Rattus norvegicus: one gene and its partner. The protein of the gene in region 1 interacts with the protein of each later gene in a biochemical or structural test. Links are inferred from orthologs where the notes say so. Each region holds a gene or a part of one and is shown on either strand. Other genes may lie near its edges. The genes, in order: Cdc25b and Ywhab.

What was found.
Region 2: the proteins of Cdc25b (region 1) and Ywhab form a complex in vitro, tested with the Homo sapiens proteins (2 studies listed by BioGRID). The link is inferred for Rattus norvegicus from reciprocal best matches to the Homo sapiens genes CDC25B and YWHAB.

The regions. Positions count from the first base shown.
Region 1 is NC_086021.1:138,856,504-138,864,024, forward strand, and holds the start of Cdc25b (M-phase inducer phosphatase 2), read left to right. Parts: upstream 1-3,669; 5' UTR 3,670-3,859; coding exon 3,860-4,059; intron 4,060-4,802; coding exon 4,803-4,924; intron 4,925-5,552; coding exon 5,553-5,604; intron 5,605-7,521. UniProt on the Homo sapiens protein: Tyrosine protein phosphatase which functions as a dosage-dependent inducer of mitotic progression. Directly dephosphorylates CDK1 and stimulates its kinase activity.
Region 2 is NC_086021.1:173,096,900-173,103,789, forward strand, and holds the end of Ywhab (14-3-3 protein beta/alpha), read left to right. Parts: intron 1-1,232; coding exon 1,233-1,396; intron 1,397-2,177; coding exon 2,178-2,273; intron 2,274-2,758; coding exon 2,759-2,815; 3' UTR 2,816-4,609; downstream 4,610-6,890. UniProt on the Homo sapiens protein: Adapter protein implicated in the regulation of a large spectrum of both general and specialized signaling pathways. Binds to a large number of partners, usually by recognition of a phosphoserine or phosphothreonine motif.

The DNA of each region.
Region 1 (7,521 bases):
AGAAGAAAAACCAGTGAACCAAATCATCATGGCCAAATTAATTAAAGCAAGCACTTACTTAAAGAAAGCTTTTCTAGTCTGCACAAAGGCTGCCTCCCTCTAAGGTGGGGCTTAAGAGGTCAGCATTGGATGTGAGGAAGACAAGGCTTTATAGCTCAGGGGTAGGTGTTTCCAATGGGAGGTTTGGTGGGCAGAATAGATGAGGTTACAGGAGTAGAACACAAACTCAAGTTATTCCTAATGACCTTCTAAAACAAATACATGGTTGCAAGATGGGCATTATAAAGTAGTCAAAACAACTGGTAGTCATAAGTGGTCAAGTAATCTTTAAAACAAAGGTAGGGTTGCAAGATGGTCCTAACTGTTTGAAACAGGGACACGATCGCCATTCCTGGAACAGGCAGCACAGAGCCATTGGTAGGTAAGGTTATGGTGGGGTATAGCCCAATCCTTGAGAAGCAGAGGCTTAGTCATAAACAAGAATAAACCTAGTTTGTCTTTACTATAAAATGCTGTTTAAGCCTTAGGCTTGCCTAAAGCTGGTTCTTGTTTCCTCTCCCCAGAAGACTCTAGTTTGTGTCAAGTTGACAAAAAACTAACCAGCACAGTAATACTTTTAGTATATTAGATTAAATACAATACTAAAATTAAAATATAAAACTTACTATCCTTACCGCATTTATTTATATTTTTGCTGTGTTATGAGCAGATGCCAGAAACCAGGCCTTTGCATATGCTAGGCAAATGGTCTGCCCCTGAGACACACCTCAGACCCTTTTCTATTTTTGTTGGTAGTACTTTGGGGTTGTTTGTTTGTGACAGGCTCTCACTCTACAGCCTAGGCTGGCCTCAAACTGTCACTGATCCTCTTTCCTCACTCCTCCTCCGTAAGTTGACAGAGTACAGGACTGAGGTTAGCTTCCCTTTTGCTTTTTGAACGTGGCTACTAAGGAATCTTTAATTCTGTTTGTGGCCGCCATGCGCGTCTGCCACCATGCTTCCTTTGGCTAAATATGAATCATCTTCAGGAGGTGATACAAGAAATTTCTCACAGTGCTGTTTCTGAAGATTTAGGGGTGGGGCTGTCTTTTGTATCATAAGATGTTGTTCTTTGAGGTTTTAGTGGCACAAAAATTTAACATGTCACACCTATGGAAAAAAAAAAAAAGGTGTGTGTTGGGGGACTAGTAGAGGAAACACCGTTCCTAAAAAGGCCCTGGAGAGATGGCTCTAGGTTAATAACACTGCCTGCTCTTGTAGAGGACCCAGGTTTGACTCCCAGCACCCACATTGCAGCTCACAACCCTCTGTTTCAGGGGATCTGAAGTCCTCTTCTGTCCTGCACAGGCACCAAGCAGGCAAATGGTGCACACACAGGCAAAGCGCCTGTGACATAAAACTCTGCGGGCTGCACCGTGAGATTTTTAACCTGCGGGCAGTGGCACTCCATGCCTGAAATTCCCAACACTCAGGAATCAAAAACAGCCCAGTCACCATAAAGTTGAAGCCAGCTTGCTCTACACACAGAGTCAGAAGCCAGCCAGGTTTACATAATATAGCACTCCTCTTCCTAATCTCAAAAAAGAGCAAATTTTTAATTGGATATTTTATTTATTTACATTTCAAAGATTATCCCCTTTCCCAGTTTCCCCTGTGTAAACCCCCTATCATACCCCCCTACCCCTGCTTCTATGAGGGTGCTCCTCCCACTCACCTACCCTTCCACTCCCACCTCACTGCCTTAGCATTCCTCTACACTGGAACATCAAGCCTTCATAGGACCCAAGCCACCCCTCCCATTGATGCCAGATAAGGCCCCTTTCGCTCCTTCGTCCTTCCCCTAACTCCTCTATTGGGGTCCCTGTGATCAGTCCAATGGTTGGCTTTGAGCATCAGCATCTGTATTGGTCAGGATCTGGTAGAGCCTCTCAGAAAATAACTGTATCAGGCTGTCAGCAAGCACTTCTCGGCATCAGCAGTAGTGTCTGGGTTTGGTGTCTGCAGATGGGATGGATCTCCAGGTGGGACAGTCTCTGGGTGGCCTTCAATCTCTAAGAGCAATTTGTTGTTTTAGTTGAGTATGTATTTTATGATCTAAGTGGAAAAGTGAGGTTCAGGAGGGTGTGAGTGGGTGTCAGTTGCCGTGGAAAGGACATCTCTCTCCTCCACTGGGACAAGGAGAACCTTTCAGTTGTGGAACTTCATGAGATTCAAGTGATCAAAACTCAACACAGCATGGCTCCTCCTCACCCCAAACAGTGTGTGAGCTGAGATGCAGGTTGAGGGAAACCAGCTATGTTGGTTTTGAAAATATACTCCTTGGAGCAATTTTATTTCAGGTCTTTGGAATGGAAGGCCATGTGGGGACACATTTCTCTCCTGGTCCTGGCACTAAGGTCTTGACTTATGACTGGAATAAGAAATGGGTCCCCAGTAGCAGTATATAAGTTCCTGACATACCACAGGAACTGGGCAAAATGTTGAAAGAAAAAAGTGGTCAGGTCGTGGTTCCTACCTCGGGCACTCCACTCAGGTGTGTCTAGTGTCCTCCTTTATTCACAGCTGAACCTCTTAGACTCTATCCCTACCCTTAGTTACCCCTTTGCCATTCTTACCTGGTGGGCCTAGGGTGGTGGTTAAAATAGCAAAGGCAGGTGTTCAAGGCTGCTCTCAGCTCCTAGATCCTATACTGCACCCCATGACCGTCCCAGAAGCCACACCCTCACTGGGGAATTTGAAAAAGTTCCCAACTACTTACTAGGTCCTTCCCAGCTCATTCCAGGAAAACAGACTCTCGCCTGCAAGGTGATTAGATCGTTAGAAAACGCTCATTGTAAACTAATAGCAAATTCAGCCTCTTTTACTTTCAAAGAAACACTATGGTGCTATTAACCCCAAATTAGCCAAGCCATAGTGGGTGTGAGATTCTTCCCTTACTGGGTTCTCTGGCTGCTCCCAACTGCCTGCTGCAGAAATCATTGCGTAAATCTAAACGTTTAATTCTCAGGGGTTATAGGGGAGACTATTGGGCTTAGCTCAGTGAGGCAGTTCCTCTGTGCCTCGCAAAGCGCCGCGGTTGAATGACTGCAGCTGCTCTCTGCGGCCTAGGGGCGTTGACAGGGAGGCTGCAGGATCAGAGGAGCCCGGGAGGGTGCATCTTCGTCTCCGCCATTCAACCAAACCCGTGACCTTAAACGAGTCACGGAACTTTTCAACGCTCGGTCTGTAAACCGGACAGGGAACGCAGAGCTCACAGCAAACTTGGCAAACGTCCTAGGCTCAAGCAGAGTGTAGCACCGACCCTTACCGGTGACCGTGCACTGATGGTAAACGTCGAGGGCTCCTTACGAGGCCACCCTAAGTGATGGCTACTCCTTCTGAGGTTATGTACCTCCAAACCCTGTCCCATGAGGCAATATCCTGGAGACCAGGATTCTCGTGTCAAAGGGAGCGGAGGGTATGTGTGGAACAGGGGGTTAACCCAACTCCCTGAGTCACCCACCCTAAGAAGCCAAGCCGGCAGAAGTAGCTGGTCCAGCCTCAGCCCAAGCCACCAGCGCCCCGCCCTTGGTCCCGCCCTCCCGGAACCGGCGCCCCCATTGGTGGCGTCTGGCGGCGCTGCCGCTGTTATTTTTCGAATATATAAGGAGGTGGAGGTGGCAGCTGCCCAGCTCGCGTCTTCCCCTCCCTTCCTCCCCACATCCCTCTCCTCACTCCCAGGCCCACTGCTCTTCCTCCCTCCCTCCCCTCCCTCCTTCCCCTTACCCCAGGCTCACTCTCGGAGCCTAGCCATCTGGGTCGGCGTCTGCTGGCCGCTGTACTTGTGGCCCTCTAGCTAGCCTTTGCCCGCCCCGCCACCATGGAGGTACCCCCGCAGAAGTCTGCGCCGGGCTCAGCTCTCAGTACTGCCCGCGTGCTGGGTGGCATTCAGCGGCCGCGCCACCTCTCAGGCTTTGGGTTTGGGTCTGATGGCTTGCTGGGGTCTCCAGAGCGTGCGGCTTCCTCCTCTCCGGTTACCACTCTTACCCAGACCATGTACAACCTCGCAGGGCTCGGCAGGTAGGATGCCCCAAGGGCACTGGGTGTGGTGGGATGGGAGGCCGGGACCAGGAGACACTAGGCACCAGAGCCACGGAGTGCAGCACACCGACGCCTTTAGCCTTGTTTCAGTGACATGGGACCAGTGTGCTGAGTCAGAAGCTATGCGACTTACACCCTCCAGATGACTGGCCGTCTAAGGATCATTTACCTCACTGCTCCTTCATTGTGCCTCCTGCACACTGTTCTTAGGCAGAGGATCATGAGGTTGGCCTAGAAGTGGGTCTTAAAAGGCTGCGCCCTGCTCTTTGAAAATATCTCACCTACTCCCCTAAGGCTTAAACTGAAAAAAGACGGGCCACCTCCTTAACCTGTGGGGTCCCAGCTGGGTGGTCGGTCCAGCTGCAGCAGAGAGCCGGGTCTTGCTTAGCCTTTGCCTCCTGGGAAATGCTGGCGAGGTGAGGATGTGCCCAGCAGGAGAAGGTTCTCCAGAGCTTCTGGGCTGTCTCCTGCCCATCCTTCTCACTCTTCCAGACACTTAGAAGGGTCTTTCCTGAACCAGTCAACGCAGAGAAGACCCTCTCGGGCCTCAGTAGAATGAAATGCTTTGACTTGAGATACAGGCTAGTTCTAGGATCACCTCTCAGTGACAGATAGATGGGCCCTTCATAGTTGGGGAATTCATGGGAGCATGGGCTGACCAGCTTCCAAATCCAACATTAATTTCTTTTTCTCCTCCTCTGTGCCTCTTTCTCCTTTCCTAGCGAGACCCCAAAAACTCAAGTAGGAAGCCTGTCGTTCCAGAACAGGCTGACAGACCTGTCCCTGTCCAGACGTACCTCTGAGTGCTCCCTGTCATCTGAGTCCTCAGAATCTTCTGATGCAGGTAAGGCCCAGGGCCCGTAGTGGGGGTACACACACCACCACCACCACCACCACCACCACCAAAAGAGATCAGGGAACTTTCTGGACCTTCTAAATTCTCTGCCCATGAGATAGATCCCGGTCCTTTCCACAGAATCATCCCCCAGCTTGCCTTCAAAACTATGAAGCAAACAAACCTCTGGTGGGTCTTACCACACCCAGCCTAAACTGGGAGTCTGGGGAAGGACGACTCTTGGTAGGAGATGGTATCTTACTTATTTGAAACCTAGCGGTAAAGCCACTGAACTACAGCTCCACCCAGACAGCACTTGGTACCAAAAGCCTGTCCTTGTGAAGCATTCTCTTAAGCTGTAGCCTTTTCTCCTTAGAAAACCATTATCTTTTCCAAGTTGTTTTAAACCAGCTTAAGAAAAATGCTTAGAAAGCACTAAAAAATAAATAAATAAAACAAAAAAGTGCAGATACGTTTCCCATAGTAAATAGAGAATGTAGCCCCTCGTCCTATGGGGGCAGTGTCCCATTAAAGTATGCCTTGATCTCAAAGAGAAAGAGGTTTCTTTTCCCTTTCTTGGGGAAAAAGTAAGCAGGAAAGGCTGCTACCTGCAAGCCAAGGTGCTCTGTCCCACCAGGTCTCTGCATGGACTCCCCTAGCCCTATGGACCCACAGACAGCAGAGCGCACGTGAGTAGAGGGGGAGGAGTCCTTCCACTGAGGACTTGGCACCTGCCCTTGAGGACTGATCTTTCTTTAATGTGTTTTTAATTATGTGTTATATGGTTTTCTACATGGGGATATGTGCGTGTAAGCGTGTTGTCCTATAGCGGTCAGAGAGGGCCTTGGAACACTTAGAGCTAGAATTCCAGGCTGTCGTGAGTTGCCATATGTGGGTGCTGGGTACTGAACTCAGGTCCTCTGCAAGAATAACAAATACTCTTCGTCACTGAGCCATCTCTCCAGCCCCCAGTATCCTGCTTAAGAAAGGGAAACCAAATAATAGGCAGGTTCCTCAGGATCCCCATTGCGAGGGGTTGGTTTCTTCCTAAGTCTTAAGAATTGGCTCCTTATTCAGAGAAGGCCTGATACCATAGAAACCAGAGGAACGTGGGCTCAGGACCACAGGTCACAGGAACAATGGCCTCTGGGAAAGTATACTCCAATATTAGTCCAGCTAACATTGTCATTCAGAAAAACAATGCCCCTCATGTTCCCACTTTTCTTTTTCTCCTGTATACATTTTTTTGTACATGTAACATTTTTTTCAAACTTAAAAATATGGTCCTGGGGTTGGGGATTTAGCTCAGTGGTAGAGCGCTCGCCTAGCAAGCGCAAGGCCCTGAGTTCGGTCCCCAGCTCCAAAAAAAAAAGAAAAAAAATATGGTCCTGTTGGGTGTGGTGGCCCAACACTCTGGAAGATCAGACAGAAAGATAGGCAGTTCAAGGCCAACCGAGGCCAAACAAAAATTGCATTTGCAGACTGGCCTGGCTCATCAGCAGCTCCCAGTTTTCCCTGACACTTGGTGCTTTTGGCTGACCCTTGACCAGACCCTTTGCAACAGGGAATGGAGAGGAGAAAGCTGGTCTTTGCTGTGAGCAGACTCCTCCTCCTTGGCTGTGGCACAATAGAGCCTTGTAGAGCACACCTGTTCCCATCCAGCTGTGGAGTAGCTGTCAGTCATTAGGAGGAACAGCTGGGCATTGCCAGTCACAGCTTTTGGTTTAGGGCGGGGGTTACTATTTCCCCCTGATGTCTTTGATCAGACTGTGCTGGTCTCAAGGTTTATTCACAAACAGGAAATCGAGAGTTGGGTGGGGATGGGAGGAGTGTACGTTGTTTTTTAGCGACAACACAGATAGATCCCTCACCCCTGAGGCCCAGCTACAAATGATGCCAGGTTGATTGCACACAGGCCTCTCTGAGGGTCACTTGGACACTAAGTGCCTCTCCAGTTAGTCTGCACTTACTTTTGACTATTTACAGCTTCTCAGAAAGAAGCTGGGGTGTACGTGTGTGTGTGTGTGTGTGTGTGTGTGTGTGTGTGTGTGTGTGTGTGTTAAGCTCCACATGACAGGTGCTCCAGCAACATTGGAAGGCAGGGCCTGTATGTAGAAGTTGACGCTTCAGCCTCAAATGGAGCATCTGTTGGAATTCCTTGCTGGCTGGCCTCTTCTAAGACAGAAGGAGGGGGTGGAACAGAGGTTGGGTCTTAGAAAATTCCATAGGAGGGAGGAGAGAATGTAACCCTGTATACTTGTCACTAAAGGGTCTGCTGGGCTGATCCAGAAAAATCACCAAAGCAGCCCCTGTCCAGGGAGCCAGGCCAGTGGCTAGCAGAAAGGGAAACCCAGCATTGCTGGCATCCACCCCCAGGGTCACCTATATTACAGGGTACCTTCAGCCTGTTGTCTGGGATGGATCAATGCCTTTCATGGTGGCCATATGGCCCCAGTAATGTAATTTGCATACAGGTGGAAGGCCTGTGCTTGTGTGTGCAGGCTGGCGAGACTGTTGCCTTGGTGATGTCTTAATGACCCTGTGACCTGCCCCAGCTGTCTCCATCACTGCCTTTCTCTGGGCCTGCTTTTCATTCACAGCAGCCT
Region 2 (6,890 bases), about 34 Mb from region 1:
TTTGAAAAATACAGTCAGTGGGAGAGATAATATTTCATAATGAAATCTGGTTTTTGTTTACTATAGACACTCAAGTTCACAGAATTTCAGAGACCACAGCATTGTCATGTGTGGCCATGGGGTTAATAAATCTCTTTATCTAATGGATAGATATGAAGGGTGTTAGAAGTTTGATATGTAATGTGTTTGGCAAACTCTTATCTGGGAATTGATAGTTCTCTTTTTACAAGTACAACTATAAAAAATAATAATTCTCCTTGGCTATGATTTTGCTTTACCCACTTTGTACATACTGTCTTTGTAGTCTGAAATCTAAATGTAAGATTCCAAAGATGAGTGAGTCTAAATTTTACCCCAAGTAACACTGCATGCACTAGTCACCTGGCCAGCACCTGGTTGCCATATTGGTTACTTGATTGACTATGCAAGTGTGGTACTCCTTGTGTTCAAGTGACTTGCTAGTTTCTGAACTGCAGACTACATTACAGTGTATTGTTAAAACTGTCCTGGTGATTTCCTGTCTGAGTATGTCTGATGGGTTTCAGTACTGTCTAGTGTCAGGCATCCACAGATAAGGGAGACCTGTGTGAGACCACCATAGGGGAGTGCCTTCCTTTCCGCCCATGGCTTACTGTGAAGTGATTATAGCTGTTTTATTTTATTCAGTGTTCACTGTGTGCTAAGTAATTAGGGTTGTGTTATCCTCTTAGCACTTTGAATTTAGGTGAGAGTCTCCCATGTTTTCCAATAAAAGAAACCAGAGTTCGAATTTAGATGTTTTTACTTGCTCCAGGCCACATACAAGTGAGTTGAGAATTTGAATTTGTTTATGCCTATCTTTTTTCTTTTTTTTTTTTTTCTTTTTTTCGGAGCTGGGGACCAAACCCAGGGCCTTGCGCTTGCTAGGCAAGTGCTCTACCGCTGAGCTAAATCCCCAACCTGTTTATGCCTATCTTAAACCCCATCTTTTTTTTTTTTTCACTAGATTATCCACATTCATTCTTATGAAGGGCTGTGTCTATATTCTTGGCTGCTTTAATAGACTTCATTATAACTGTTTTCTTCCAAAGCCTTTAATACAGTACTTAGCATAAACATTTAGCAGATGTTAGGTTGAATGGTGAAGACGTGGACCTTTGTTTTGATGGGTTGCTTGCTTTAGCTTCTTTTACTAAAGTGTCTTGGATATGGATCCCATGTGCGAGACACTAACATTTTTATCTTCCTTCCAGCCACTGTGTCAAACTCCCAGCAGGCGTACCAAGAAGCATTTGAAATCAGCAAGAAAGAAATGCAGCCTACACACCCGATTCGCCTTGGCCTGGCTCTGAATTTCTCAGTCTTTTACTATGAGATTCTAAACTCTCCTGAAAAGGCCTGTAGCCTGGCCAAAACGGTGAGCAAAGACGCATTGCTAATTCCAAGAACTTCCTTCTGTTTGTGAGCATCCTCACCATCTAGACTTGGACGCATTTTCTAGGGAGTGGGGTTTTAGGAAATCCATGCACACCTCTTATTTGGCACTTTGCTCTGAATATATTGTCTGGTTACTGTTGGGGTCATTGGTAGAACCTTCCAGGTAAAAAGTAGGGGCTCTCTTCAGGCTTTGGACATTGTCACCTTTGTTCCAAGATAGGACCCCATGAAAGAAGGAGCCCCACTTTGTTTGTGCTGTATTATCACTTCCTGTGTTCTCTGAGAAGCTTGCTTTCTGGTGCACACTGTTATTTGAAACTTTAATTTGAAAAGAGTGCCTGAAGTGGATTCTACAAAGTGAGCCCGGGAGACAAATCAAGCTTAGTGAAGTGAGCTTACCTGTTCTCCCCTTTGACCTTTGTGTCCAGACCTTTTTAGTTTAAACAAAAAATAGAAGCCACTTTGATAATTAAAAACCTGAGTGAATTTTTAGATTAAATGTGCTACGGTTAACATAACTTTTTTGGGGGGTTTATCATTGCTGACTGGTAGTGTGTGTGTGTGTGTGTGTGTGTGTGTGTGTGTGTGTGTGTGTGTGTGTGTGAGAGAGAGAGAGAGAGAGAGAGAGAGAATGAGAATATGTGGGGGGGGTGTACATTTGAATAGGTGGCAGACAGTTGAGCGCAGACAGGTCTCACCAGCAGGACAGGTAGCGCTAACACAAAGAGCGCCCAGATCTTTGCTAACACCCTTTGTTGTAGGCGTTTGATGAAGCCATTGCTGAGTTGGACACCCTGAATGAAGAGTCTTACAAAGACAGCACCCTGATCATGCAGCTGCTAAGGGACAATCTCACCGTAAGTACCTTCGGAGAGCAGATAGCTCCTTAGTCCACTGTTAGCCAAGATTTAAGATGGCTCTCTACTCTGTCAAGTACAGTTTTACATTCTCAAGTTACCTACATCTTACTGCTGAACGTTATGCCTTTTCAGTCATTGTCTGTGGTCAGAGGGAATTTCGAGTTGTTGAATGTGGGACCTGGAACCATAGCTCAGTGGTTCTCAGCCTGTTCTTCCGAAGGAACCACACCTTCCCATTGCAGCCCACAGCCATCTGTAACTTCAGTTCTAGGGGATGTAGTGCCCTCCTCTGGCGTCCTAGGACAGTAGGCATGCAAAAGGCACACAGACAAACGTGCAGGCACAACACCCATACAGGAAAAACATTTTAGTTTTTTGCAAAATGGTAGTTAAATGAGGTAAAATATACTAGGCAATCTCTTGAAGAAAGCTTTTAATGATCTTGATTTTATTACAGCCTTTTCTTTCTTTTCCTTTTGCAGCTGTGGACGTCAGAAAACCAGGGGGATGAAGGAGATGCTGGAGAGGGAGAGAACTAATGTCTATTGAGCTCTGTGATCTGTTTGGTGTCACTGTATCCTCCACATTATGTCCCTTTGTGCGATAAACAAAAACAAAAAAAATCCAATGTGGACTTTCGATCTTTCACAGCCTAAGCCTTGCAGAAACGGTCCCTGGGATGAACAGCTGGTATTTGTATCTAAAACTCAGACTGGTCCCTTAAATGCCATGGTATTTTGAAGTCTTGATTTGATCAACATTGACAAGGATTACTGTGTGTTTAATTTTTACAAACTGAACACTGTGATTACAGGGCTTTATAACTTAGCAGAGCTCTTCCTGGTAGGAAAAATTGACCTGAATTATGTGTAACTTTTTGGAAAGTTTAATCTGATATCAAAATGGTCACTGAAATACAATTCTGTTGTAAAGTTGTACAGAAAGTTCTAGAGATTCTCTTGTGATGCTGGGACTTGGGCGAGATGCTTACCCTTGGCATCCTGAGTGTGGTAACTCACAGTAATTCTGCCTGTGGTTGAGGGCCTGTTAACCCTTGATCACTTTGGGCTGTTACCACTCAAAAGTTCATGACCGCAAATATCTGCAGTGTCTTCTGAGGAAATTCAAAACCTGAAAGTGAACTTCTTTGGCTGATAATTGGGCTGTAACACCACAAAAAGGTCCCGTGTTCATACCACATGTGTGACTAAACCTTTTTATTATAGCAACGTGTTCCTGATTAGCTCCATGTGAAAACGGGGCTGTTACCCCCTAGCTGAAGGAGAGGGGAAAGAGAGAGAAAGTAGTGTATCATATAAACGGCCATACCAGTTTTTTGGATGATTCTTCAATGTTCTGTGGATGCGGCCTCTTGCCTGAGGAGCATTCCTAGCCTTGGGGTGGGAGCTGTGACACGTAACATTCTTCTCACCCTGTCCTTTTGACTTTTGACTTTTTCCTCTTTAAATGTACAGCTTTCTGCTTCCTTGGGTGGTTTTCTTGGGAAGCCTTTATTAGTCAGTACTGTGTGGACAGGGCGGGGCATTGAGCACATGGTGAGAGCTGTGCTTTAAAGGTTGAGAAAGACCTTCCAGCACCACACCCTGTCTCCCTCCAGGTCTCAGCACAGTTGTTCTTCATAGTATGACCCAAATCGGGAAAAAATAAAGGACTTTTAAGTATTTGTGATTTCCCCCATTGCACCCAGCCCTGACAGTGCTTTGTCTGTGCCTGTGACAGACCCTCCCTCCAGTGGACTCATCCAGCTTCGTCCTCAGACACGCCTCAAGAAGACTTAGAACACAGGGAAGTTGCATGGACACTACAGTAGAGAGAACCAAGAACAGCCAGGCCTTCAGTCTCACAGTATCACCCCTCTACCTTGACATTCCGTGTACCCATAGCTGTAGAGTTCATCCGTTTGTCCATCTGCTGAAATATGAAAAGAATTCATGCACTGATTTAAACAAAAACAAAAAACCCACAAAAAAATTTCTTCTTTCTAGCTGAACAGAAAACGTGCAGTTAATACTCGGCGCTTGACAAGCAGCAGCGAGTGTGGACCAAGCCTGTCTGTATCTGGTAGCTCTTCGCTCTGTTTTCTTTCCTTACCAGTATTCTGCCTAATGTTTGCTTCCGTGGTGGTTCTTTGCCTAGCAAGCACACCTGTGGTTGTGAAAATAGTATAGCAAAAAGAAAAAGACCCCCTCCCCACCCCCAGTTACTGATGTGCTAGATCCGTGTATGTCTTTTAAACATTCTAGTTTCTCCTTACACAGAGTAATCAGGACGATGTAAAAACTCAAAAGTGAAATAAAACATCTTATCAGTTAGTTGCCTGTGGATTGATGTGTCACCACCCTCTCTTTAAAGAGTAAATAGTTTTTCTTTACCCTTTAGAACCAGCGGTAGAGATGTCTTAGATGGCCATCTGTGGTAACTGCCGGCTTGAATTAGAGCAGCCATGATCACCTGTGCAAGACCCTTGCCTTTCTTTTCGAGGGGGTGGAGGGCATGTCACAAGATTACATAAGCACCTTGGCTGAACGTGCACAGATGGCAGCGCTGCTGGTGGCATAGCCACTCTCAAGGTGCAGGGGACTTAACAGTGATACAGCTGCCTTAGAACCCGCCATACTCCTTTCTGTCAGCAGCCCAATAAAACTTAGCTGGTTTGCCAAACTGGACGTGGGTGGAATCCTTTCTTCGGTATCTATTATCTTCCCTATCTGGAGTGAATAGATGGGACTGTATCTCCCTAGGAAAAACCCTGTAATGCTCCATTCACCAAAACCAAAGGTGAGTCTGGAAGGAACAGCTCCAGCTGTAGGTAGTAGGTGTCAAGACAACAACTGAGCCGAGTGTTGATGAAACCCGGAAGTGGCTGTTTGCCTCTGTAATAGGGTCTTCTGGTAAGTGATACACCCTCCCTGCAAGCAGCTGGTGGACAAGAAAGAATGTTAGCGTCTCTGAAGGTTTCCCTGGGTCAGGATTATAAGCAGGCAGTAGTGGCCACTGCATGGCCCATTCTGTAGGTAAAGACAAGTGGCCGAGGCCACACTGCCAGTCCAGAATTGCTCTTCGTAAAGGAGGAATTAAGAGTGGAAAGAATGGATGTTACCTACTGTTTGCATTAAGTGGGAGAAAGGGAGGGATGAGGTGAATACAACAGATGGAGTAAGTACAAATTGAATGTGTTCTTCCTGGGATCCATGTCCCGCGCTATCTCGCCAGCAAGAACACGCGGGGACACACGACTCCTTCTGCAGCAAAACGTTTTTATTGTATCTTAAAGAGAGGGCCCGGGTCGCCAGCATGGCACGGCTTATATACACCCTAGCGCTGCGCATTCACACCTGATTGGTCGCTTACCCATGATCTCATAGGCACGCCCCGGAGTGGGCCAAGACCTGGCACAAAGACACTCTTGCACATGCGCACACAGTTAACTTCCTGAAAGGAAGTCAGCTGGCGCGGCGGAGGCCAGCGCCATCTTGTAATGGCAAAAGCTATCCCGGCTTTCCACGTGGGGCACAGTGGAAGTCAGCGCCATCTTGTGGTGGCGAATGTTTTTGCGGCTCTCCACATCTCCCCCTTATTGTTTTACTAATATGAGGCTGGTCTAGGTCCCTGCAGTAACGTCCATCTGCTGTGGCTCCTGTCTTAGGTCGTTCCTCTATGTCACAGCCTTATCCGTCGTAGGGTAACCCTATCGCCACCGGGCCCCGTGTCTTAGATTGGTCTGTGCATGAGGAAAGTTGCCAGTCTCTGGATACTGCAGTGCTGTGTGACAGTAACTGCTAAACAACCTAGGGCGAACTCTACAAAAGAGGCCAGCCAGAAAATGAGTTAGTGGGGAAATCATGATCACCCTATCGCGTGCAATGAGGAAACCTCAGCGATGTAGAAGGGCTGATCAAAGAATCATTGAGTCTCATCCCAGTGCAATGGATCCACAGATCCATGGGGTGCAAGAGCAGAGAACTCAGATACCGACTAATTCCTGAGCATAGATAACCAAATTTCAGGGGAGGCCCCTTGTTCAATGGCCACAAGTGCTTGAATGATAACGACCTTGTCACGTTTCTGTTGAGATCTGAGTTTGCAAACCAACCATAGCATGAACACTAATCCACAGCATAGGGCTGCACCAAACAGAGCCACTCTCGATAAGTAGTGGGCACCTCATCCGGTTCTAGCAACTACTCCAGAAAGTTCACCCACTGTGCTTGCCTAACAATAGATTGGGGGGAGGGTAACTCCAGACACTGCAGACACAATGGCTACAGCAGTAAATGGCTGCTACAATAGCAGCGAAAATAACAAGGTCTTTCCCAGGACAGTTCAGGATCAGCCATTCTTTTCTGGAACAACCAGCAGGCAATGGAACCATGTCTGAGATCTGCACAACCAGGGCAGAGTTCCCCAGTCCACAGCAGTTTCACGCAGATGGCATTCCTGTGAAGCTACAGACTGCAAAATGACAACACCAGTTAAGGCAGCAAGAGTCACCAGGGAAATGAGGGGGGCAGGGATAACAGCTGGAGTCCAGTCTTCTCCAGCAAGCAGCAGTGCACAGAGGGTCAGAGAGCAGGCCACAGTGGGACGGGACAC